Linked DNA regions of Xenopus tropicalis. The protein of the gene in region 2 purifies or fractionates together with the protein of the main gene of each other region. This does not show direct contact. Links are inferred from orthologs where the notes say so. Each region holds a gene or a part of one and is shown on either strand. Other genes may lie near its edges.

The links.
Region 1: the proteins of rbx1 (region 2) and keap1 purify together in Homo sapiens (affinity purification with western blotting; 6 studies listed by BioGRID). This does not show direct contact. The link is inferred for Xenopus tropicalis from reciprocal best matches to the Homo sapiens genes RBX1 and KEAP1.
Region 3: the proteins of rbx1 (region 2) and fbxw2 purify together in Homo sapiens (affinity purification with western blotting; 3 studies listed by BioGRID and IntAct, with this or other methods). This does not show direct contact. The link is inferred for Xenopus tropicalis from reciprocal best matches to the Homo sapiens genes RBX1 and FBXW2.

The regions. Positions count from the first base shown.
Region 1 is NC_030679.2:138,040,496-138,044,233, forward strand, and holds part of keap1 (kelch-like ECH-associated protein 1), read right to left. Parts: intron 2,773-3,738; coding exon 2,087-2,772; intron 114-2,086; coding exon 1-113. UniProt on the Homo sapiens protein: Substrate-specific adapter of a BCR (BTB-CUL3-RBX1) E3 ubiquitin ligase complex that regulates the response to oxidative stress by targeting NFE2L2/NRF2 for ubiquitination.
Region 2 is NC_030680.2:115,969,955-115,973,554, reverse strand, and holds the start of rbx1 (E3 ubiquitin-protein ligase RBX1), read left to right. Parts: upstream 1-854; 5' UTR 855-863; coding exon 864-977; intron 978-3,273; coding exon 3,274-3,352; intron 3,353-3,516; coding exon 3,517-3,587; intron 3,588-3,600. UniProt on the Homo sapiens protein: E3 ubiquitin ligase component of multiple cullin-RING-based E3 ubiquitin-protein ligase (CRLs) complexes which mediate the ubiquitination and subsequent proteasomal degradation of target proteins, including proteins involved in cell cycle progression, signal transduction, transcription and transcription-coupled nucleotide excision repair.
Region 3 is NC_030684.2:8,637,580-8,640,102, forward strand, and holds the end of fbxw2 (F-box/WD repeat-containing protein 2), read right to left. Parts: intron 1,920-2,523; coding exon 1,631-1,919; 3' UTR 555-1,630; downstream 1-554. UniProt on the Homo sapiens protein: Substrate-recognition component of the SCF (SKP1-CUL1-F-box protein)-type E3 ubiquitin ligase complex.

The DNA.
Region 1 (3,738 bases), on a different chromosome or scaffold from region 2:
CATCAAACCCACCAACTGCATACAGCAGCCTGTTCAGTACGGCCACTCCCACTCCGATTCGTCGAGTCTTCATTGGCGATACCATGTGCCACTCATCTCTCTCTGGGTCATATCTGGGAGCAAAGGAAAGGTGTGTAAGGTTCCAACAAAGCCTGCAAGCACCTGTGTGCCAATATTGCTGAGCGATCACTATGTAGTACAAATATCAGTCACTTGGGTATAGTAGGGAGAGATGCAGTGGGGGGGATAATAGCCTCTGGGAAGGGACTGGGGCTGTGGGATAGCAGGTATAGTAGGGAGAGATGGTGCCTATAGTAGCAGTGGGGGATAATAGCCTCTGGGAAGGGACTGGGGCTGTGGGATAGCAGGTATAGTAGGGAGAGATGGTGCCTATAGTAGCAGTGGGGGATAATAGCCTCTGGGAAGGGACTGGGGCTGTGGGATAGCAGGTATAGTAGGGAGAGATAGTGCCTATAGTAGCAGTGGGATAATAGCCTCTGGGAAGGGACCGGGGCTGTGGGATAGCAGGTATAGTAGGGAGAGATGGTGCCTATAGTAGCAGTGGGGGGATAATAGCCTCTGGGAAGGGACTGGGGCTGTGGGATAGCAGGTATAGTAGGGAGAGATGGTGCCTATAGTAGCAGTGGGATAATAGCCTCTGGGAAGGGACTGGGGCTGTGGGATAGCAGGTATAGTAGGGAGAGATGGTGCCTATAGTAGCAGTGGGGAGATAATAGCCTCTGGTAAGGGACTGGGGCTGTGGGATAGCAGGTATAGTAGGGAGAGATGGTGCCTATAGTAGCAGTGGGGGGGATAATACCCTCTGGGAAGGGACTGGGGCTGTGGGATAGCAGGTATAGTAGGGAGAGATGGTGCCTATAGTAGCAGTGGGGGGATAATAGCCTCTGGGAAGGGACTGGGGCTGTGGGATAGCAGGTATAGTAGGGAGAGATGGTGCCTATAGTAGCAGTGGGGGGATAATAGCCCCTGGGAAGGGACTGGGGCTGTGGGATAGCAGGTATAGTAGGGAGAGATGGTGCCTATAGTAGCAGTGGGGGGATAATAGCCTCTGGGAAGGGACTGGGGCTGTGGGATAGCAGGTATAGTAGGGAGAGATGGTGCCTATAGTAGCAGTGGGGGGATAATAGCCCCTGGGAAGGGACTGGGGCTGTGGGATAGCAGGTATAGTAGGGAGAGATGGTGCCTATAGTAGCAGTGGGGGATAATAGCCCCTGGGAAGGGACTGGGGCTGTGGGATAGCAGGTATAGTAGGGAGAGATGGTGCCTATAGTAGCAGTGGGATAATAGCCTCTGGGAAGGGACTGTGGGATAGCAGGTATAGTAGGGAGAGATGGTGCCTATAGTAGCAGTGGGATAATAGCCTCTGGGAAGGGACTGGGGGATAGCAGGTATAGTAGGGAGAGATGGTGCCTATATTAGCAGTGGGATAATAGCCTCTGGGAAGGGACTGGGGCTGTGGGATAGCAGGTATAGTAGGGCCATGAGTTTGACAGTCCTACTTTATAAATAATAGCTGGGCCCAGCAATGTCTATTTTTACCCCAGGGCAGAGCTATTCTGGCATTAGCTGTATAACTGGCACAATCCTCAACCCCAGGACGTACCAGAATGTATTTTCTACAATCAGCCCTGCATGGCCTTTTCTGGCCATAAATCTTTGGTTCTACTCAGCAGAAAGCTGGCACTGTACCCGCACGTATAAACACTGCAAGCCCAGTGCCAGGACCTGGAGAGAGCCTACAGCTATGTTTGGAAGTCTGAGGCTTTCCAGTGGGCGGAGAAGGTTACAGAGAGCCCTGAGCGGCTGTTCCTAAATACACTGTGCATAACCACGGTCCCTGAGTGAGAGAACAAGCTGACACGGTGCAAATCAGTCCCAGGCCCTGATACAGTACGGGGAAGGCTCCCACTAGCCAAAGTTTGCAGGCTAATTTATTACAAGCCCTGCGGACATTGGCCCTGCAGTAAAATTCTTTTAAACACCCTTGCCCCCTTTAGGACCCCATTCTACCCACTGGCAATGACCACCCGTCCAACTGTGATCCTGGCACCCTGAATAGGCTCACCTTTCCACACTGTTGTGATGGAGACATCCATGAGATCCTCCCACTGCATAGATCTGCCCGTCGATGACGCCAGCGCCTACCCTGTTCCTAGGCACACTCATGGCAGCACATGGTGACCACTGGTTGTTCATGGGATTGTAGCAGTCCAGGGCACCAGAGTCTTTATTGCAGTCGGGGGCATTATTTCGGCCTCCCACAGCATAGAAGAGGCCCCCCAAAACACAACCTGCAAGGCCGCTCCTGGGCATCTCCAAGGAAGCCAGGGTCAGCCATTCCCCGTCGACCGGGTTGTAAGCCTCGAGAAAACTGAGGGACTGCCGATAATATCCTCCTGCCACGTAAATGAACTGAGGGACATTGGGGATGCGCCCCTGGAGAGGCAGAGTGGGTTTATGGAGAGTAAGGTCCTGGAAGATCTGAGACAGGTAGTCCTGACAGCGAGAGTCCCCTTTGAGTATCTCACAGCGCTGGAGTTGCAGCTGTAAGAAGTTGGGCGTCAGGGAGTGGCACCGCACCGCCCGCAACAGTGCCTGAATGTACGGCCGCCTGTTCTCACAGTCGTATTTGACCCAGTTTATACAGGCGTGAAAAACCTCCGACTCACATCGCACATTCAGCTCATCCCGGCTTACGAGGTTCACCAGCTGGCAACTGGACAGGTTAAAGAACTCCTCCTGCTTGGCAACCTGAAACAGGAGAGAAGAGGGGTTAGAGCGATGGAACGTGGGCGAGAAGAGGGGTCAGAGCGAGGGAACGTGGGCAAGAAGAGGGGTCAGAGCGAGGGAACGTGGGCAAGAAGAGGGGTCAGAGCGAGGGAACGCAGGAGACAAGAGGAGTCAGTGCGAGGGAATGTGGGAGAGATGAGGGGTCAGAGCGAGGGAATGTGGGAGAGATGGAGGGTCAGAGCGAGGGAATGTGGGAGAGATGAGGGGTCAGAGCGAGGGAATGTGGGAGAGATGGAGGGTCAGAGCGAGGGAATGTGGGAGAGATGGAGGGTCAGAGCGAGGGAATGTGGGAGAGATGGAGGGTCAGAGCGAGGGAATGTGGGAGAGATGAGGGGTCAGAGCGAGGGAACGCAGGAGACAAGAGGAGTCAGAGCGAGGGAACGTGGGAGAGAAGAGGGGTCAGAGCGAGGGAACGTGGGCAAGAAGAGGGGTCAGAGCGAGGGAACGTGGGAGAGAAGAGGGGTCAGAGTGAGGGAACATGGGCAAGTAGAGGGGTCAGAGCGAGGGAACGTGGGAGAGCAGAGGGGTCAGAGTGAGGGAACGTGGGAGAGAAGAGGGGTCAGAGTGGAGAATGTGGGCAAGTAGAGGGGTCAGAGCGAGGGAACGTGGGAGAGAAGAGGGGTCAGAGCGAGGGAACGTGGGAGAGCAGAGGGGTCAGAGTGAGGGAACATGGGAGAGAAGAGGGGTCAGAGTGGAGAATGTGGGCAAGAAAAGGGGTCAAAGCGAGGGAACATGGGTGAGAAGAGGGGTCAGAGCGAGGGAACATGGGAGAGAAGAGGGGTCAGAGTGGAGAATGTGGGCAAGAAAAGGGGTCAAAGCGAGGGAACATGGGTGAGAAGAGGGGTCAGAGCGAGGGAATGTGGGAGAGAAGAGGGGTCAGAGCGAGGGAATGTGGGAGAGAAGAGGGGTCAGAGCGAGGGAATGTGG
Region 2 (3,600 bases):
GTAGTTTGGAGTAGACAGACAGTTTTAACCTATTCTCCATTCCTCAGAATCTGTTCTTTCCAAAAATGTATAATTTTCTGGTATAAACCTTCTGAAATGTAGGTGTTAAAATCTTAAGTATGCAAGCTTTCTGGAGCAGTGCTTTGGAAATTTGGTAGGTAGTGTACCGCTGGGAATTTTTGAATCACACAAATGAGAAATCGACATAAAACTATATATATATTTGGTGCTGGCACATTCAGGAGACATGGGACTTTCCGAATCAGTTGTATTTTTGTGCATAAAATCATTTGTTTCTTTTATATGTGTTTATATTACGGAAAACGTGTTGTTGTTTTTTTGTTGTTTTTGTTTTTTTTAATCTTTTAGACATTAAGAAGCCTATATCTTGTTCCAGAATTGGAATCACACAAAAATTCTACCATATTTTGAAATCTTAGGTCGCCCCCCCCCCCAAAAAAAAAAGATATATTGTTTTCCTGTGTAAACTAAAAGTCCCCCCAAGGAAAGGCCCTAAGAGTGCAAAATGTTTCAAAACAGTCTGGCAATACAAGTTCTGCTTTGACCAAATCAGCTGGCAGTGAAAGGGTTAACTGTTCAATACAGAAATATTTTGCTTAACCAGAACACCACAGCCCCTTAGTGAATACGAACAGATGAAAAGGCTAGCTTGCTTAAATCTGTACATTTTACTTCCCTCAAGGAGCATGTGCCTACGCCTTTAAATAAATTCTCTCCAAGCCTGCAGACCGCAGCTCTTCCTCGTTACCGTCTTCCGCCCCCACACACATTACTAACACGCCCCAAACTGTGCGCCTTTAATGCTAATCACATGACCAAGGCATCAGCCCAGCTTTCGGCGCATGCGCCATATAGACCCGGAATTTCCTCTTTTCAAAATGGCAGCCGCAATGGATGTAGACACACCAAGCGGAACGAATAACAGCGCTAGTAAGAAGCGCTTTGAGGTTAAGAAGGTAAGTGTGCTTGCTTGCGTATGTTATGGATGTAGCAAATGATCAGAACAGTCTTTCTAACTAATACTTAAAGAGGGCGACAGTGCAGCAGCTGATACTATTCAGCTAGATTGCTTGCGCCCTAAAGCTTTTTAGATGTTTGATTGACGTGTTTTCCGCCGAATCAAATGTTAAACCCTAATACTTAGGGCGGTCCGTTTTGGCAAAGCGGTGATTTCTGTCGTTCCGGCGGCCCAATAGCGGATAGCTACTGATGCCACAAACGATTGGATGAATTCTAACCAATGTAAGTGCCCCTCTCAGCTGCACTGGGAGGCGGGATCATGTAGCCGCACTTCACGAGTTTGCGGGGGAGCTGTAGGGCCACAGACATTGCGTGGTCTCATTTGCTCATTTGTTTCCCTGGAGGAGGCAGGGAATGTGTCTTGGGCTTTTAGCGGTGTGAGAGCAAGAAACGGGGCTATTTGATAAAAAATAAATTGTTGAACAAGTAAATGTAGGGGTCAAATGACTTGCATTTAGCACATGTAGGGGTATATTAATCATGCTGTGTAAAAAGTGGAGTGAAGCATTATCAGTGGTGTTGAGCTGGGTAACCAATCGGCTATTAGATTTCAACAGTTCTGATTGGCTGCTATAAACTTCATCGGTGATGTTTTACTCCACTTTTTGCACAGCATGATATATATACCCCTACGGTACAGGAGCTGTGAATATGCATTCTCACAGCGTGATGATTTTGCCACCATAGTTCTGCAGGGCATGGTGTGTTTAGCTTACAGTATCAAACATGGTGTATGTGCCATTGTTGGTGTATGTTGCCATTACAGCCTCCTCTCCCTCAGACCCTGCATACCCTATACTTAAAGGAAAACTATACTCCGAAACAATGTAGGTCTCTAAATATGTATTGCATATACAAGCTCATATGTAAAACCCTACTTCATCCAAAAAAGCCATTCTCATATAAATATACTTTTTTTTGTAGTATGTGCCACTGGGTAAGCCTAAATGAAGGCTGGGGCCAACTGGGCTTTTTCCCCAGTGTCCCGTAGCCCAGTCCAACCCTGATTAACAGTGGCTTTCTTTCTTCCACTACTGGGCAGTATTTGTTGTATTTATAGCCTTTCCAATTTCAGCCACAGAGTTGTCATGGGTCTCTTAGTGACCTTCTACATTATTCTTCTCCTTGCACATTCACTCTCTTTTCGTGGATGGCCTGTTCCTGGCAGATTTACAGCTATGCCATACCCTTTCAGTTTCTAAATGATAGATGTAACTGTATGTCCAGTTATAGTTAGAGACTTGGAAATTTTCCTATTTCCATCCCCCAACTTGTGCTTTAAATCACCTTTTTATGGAGTTGCTTAGAGGGTCCTTCTCCCTTCATGTTATAGATCAGTTATCCCCAACCAGTGGCTCATGAGCAACATGTTGCTCACCACCCCCTTTAATGTTGCTTCCAGTGGCCTCAAAACAGGTGTTTATTTCTTAATGTCTAATTTGAAGGCAAGTTTTGTAGGCATAAAGACCATCTGTACTGCCAAATAGTCTCCTTTATTCTGCCAGTTTGCATTGGGCTACCAAATAACCAATCACAGCCCTTATTTGTCACTTTTATCATGATTGTGTTGCTCCCCAACTTTTTATATATTTTTTTTTTTTTAATTTGAGTGAATTAGTGAAAAGTATATGTTTATGGTATAGACACTTTATTTGTTAGAAATAAGCTCCTGATGGAGCTGTTGTATACAGTCTGACCTGAGATTACTGTTAAAAAAAAAAAAAAAAAAAAAAGGGGGGGGGGGGTCATCAAGACGACACTCTTATCCAGCTCTGTGTGAGGCTACATGTTGAGGTAACAGGGTCTGCCAAGCATCTAGGCCAGAGGCAGGCCAAGCCGACCGGGCACCTAGGCAACCTGGTCGGCCACCTTACCCCTGCACCCTCCCATGCATAATACCCACGTGCAGTGAAGGAAATGACAAGTTAGTGCAGACTAGGGGGAGGCAGGAGAGGTACCTGTCTGGCACCCATTATTCCGGCCCTGATCTAGGCACATTGATATTGGTGCCTTCATTGAGCCACATTTGGGCCACGTTTAACCATTCCAGTAAGACTCCAAAGCCATTGTCTGGTAAAACTGGCTAAACTAGTAAATCGAACATACCGGTAATTCTATACACATGAACCAACTTAGAGCAGATTGTGCTAAGTGATTAGATGAGTTTTAAAACATATTTAATTTATTGCCAAAATTTACATCACTTTAACTTTTTTTTCTTTTTTGTTGCAGTGGAATGCAGTTGCCCTTTGGGCCTGGGACATTGTAGTGGACAATTGTGCCATCTGCAGGAACCACATCATGGACTTGTGTAAGTTTCCTTAATTGAACTTTAGCCGATAAAACAACTGTTGTCTGTAAGCAACATTTTAGTTAGTCCCAGTGCTTATATATACATTTATCTTTGAAAAAGTGAATAACCCCTTTGAATGGTACAAATGCAGAAAATAAAAATAATCCTCTTGTATCTTCTAGGCATAGAGTGCCAAGCAAACCAAGCTTCTGCTACTTCTGAGGAATGCACTGTGGCATGGGGTGTGTGTAATGTAAGTAGCTTTG
Region 3 (2,523 bases), on a different chromosome or scaffold from region 2:
CTGTAATAATAAAACAGTACCTGTACTTGATCCCAACTAAGATATAATTACCCCTTATTGGGGGCAGAACAGCCCTATTGGGTTTATTCAATGGTTAAATGATTCCCTTTTCTCTGTAATAATAAAACAGTACCTGTACTTGATCCCAACTAAGATATAATTACCCCTTATTGGGGGCAGAACAGCCCTATTGGGTTTATTTAATGGTTAAATGATTCCCTTTTCTCTGTAATAATAAAACAGTACCTGTACTTGATCCCATTACAGAGAAAAAGGAAATCATTTTCAAAAATGTTAATTATTTGCTTATAATAGAGTCTATGGGAGACAGCCTTTCCGTAATTCGGGACTTTCTGGATAATGGGTCCCACACCTGTACTCAAAATCACAGTTACTCCCATGACAGTCTACACAGTATTGTAATTCATCATCTCCTAAAAGGGTCTGAAATACATAGTATTTGTCATAGTTCTGCTTTATTCAGAGCCCCGAATGCAGTTTGATTTGAACCAATCACTGTTATTCTTAACAAAAAAAGACAAAAACAAAAAAAAGACTTTGTATTGTTGTTGTGTATATTCATTGTGTATTAAAATACATTTACATGCTGTTTGGTAACATTAGACTAGGGCTTGTCGGATATACCCTCACTGCTTATTATAGGCTGTCCCACTAGGGTATTTTACAGAACCAATGAAAAGTCTTTGACAACCAAAATTAAAAGAAAAAAAAAAAAAAAAAAAAGGGGAAATTGTCCTGTTAAAATATCAGTAGATAAAATAAACAAAAGGGAACAATGCACATATAAATGGTTAAATAAAGGTCCAGTCATGTAGCCCATAACAACAAGCTGTCATTACTGCACCCGTTAGTTGCTATGGGCTACCAAACTGGCCCACATTTTGAAAACATTTTTGAATTAACCCCTGTATTTGTATTTTTCCCCCCAATTAAAGGGACAGCGTTCCCTACTTACAAGTAGGTTATATCTTCCATTTAAAGGTTCGGAGAAGCAGAATACAAAGCAACAAGAACGTATCCTCCTTGATTAAGTCTTATGTATTGTTACTACCTAAGTGCTCAAACAGGAATACTCTAAGCTCCGGAATACTCTACCTCTACGCGGTGCATTTTTACATTGTTAAATGCGTTAGCTATTTCCGTAGTAAAATAGATTACATATATAAACAATCCTGAAGGCTGACATATACATAGCACGGTTGTAGCATGGAGAGAGCGTGACTTTTCTTTTATTATTGCAACTTCCTGGTCAATTTTACCAGCCTTTTTTAAAAAAAAATTCCTTTTTATCCAGAACGCATCAGGGGTGGGCGTAAGGAGCGGTGGAGGTTAAAAATGGCGGCGTCTTGAGTCCTATCTGGCGTAGACAGATACGTTTCAGTGTTTGGTGGAACGCTACGGTGAGATCCCGCCGGCATGCAATCTGGTTGGTTCACAAATAAAACACTCCCCTTTTTTCGACCCAGAGAAATGGAAGATAAACGATGATTGTGCACTGCATGACAAGATGAGAAACTTTGGTTCATGCATGGCATTCTCCCCGAACTCGTCTCTGGAACATCCGTCTGAACGTTCCGTTAAAATCAGCCGGCGCCCGCGTCTCGCCTTCTCAGCCGTTCTCCTTCCACAGCACCAAATGGATACTGTGGTCCGGCATGCTTGTGGCAAAGACCAAACCTATGTCGTTCATCCCGTCTAGGCCGTTTAACCAGGCTATTTCCCCCGCCAAAAAGCTGGAACCCCTCTTGGACTTTCTGTATTCCGGCAGAGGCCAGCGGCTGATCAGTTTCTCTGTCCGTAAATCCATTATGTATAAGTTATGGTTGTCAAACAGCAGAGCAAAGATGTCGCCGAAGCCAAGTAGGGAGAGGTTGGTAGAATCTGGCATCTTGATGATTCTATAACAAAAAAAATGTAATTTGAAATAACAATGGAAGAAAAAAAAAAAAACATGAATTTTAAACTTGTGTTTAATGCCCAACATACCTTTTGCCTATTGATTTAATAAAGAAGTATCTATAGTGGTTCATTTTTTGAATTAAAAAGGGCAAATAAAATTGAAATTTAGCCCCATTTCAACTTCCTGGTATGAGCTTCTTAAAGGAACAGTAACATCAAAAAATTAAAGTGTTTTAAAGTAATTAAAATATAATGTGCTGTTGCTCTGCAAAAAACTGGTGTTTTTGCTACAGAAAAGCTACTATATAAATAAGCTGCTGTGTAGCCCCAGGGGCAGCCATTCAAGATGGAAAAAAGGAGAAAAGGCACAGGTTACATAGCAGATAACTAGTACATAAGCCCCATATAATGGGGGTTTATCTGTTATCTGCTAAGTAACCTGTGCCTTTTCTCCTTTGAACGGCTGCCCCCGGGGCTACACAGCAGTTTACTTATATAAACTATAGTAGTCTTTCTGAGGCAAACACACCAGTTGTAGCAATGCAGGAACGGCTGCCCCCGGGGCTACACAGCGGGGTATTTATATAAACTATAGTAGGGTTT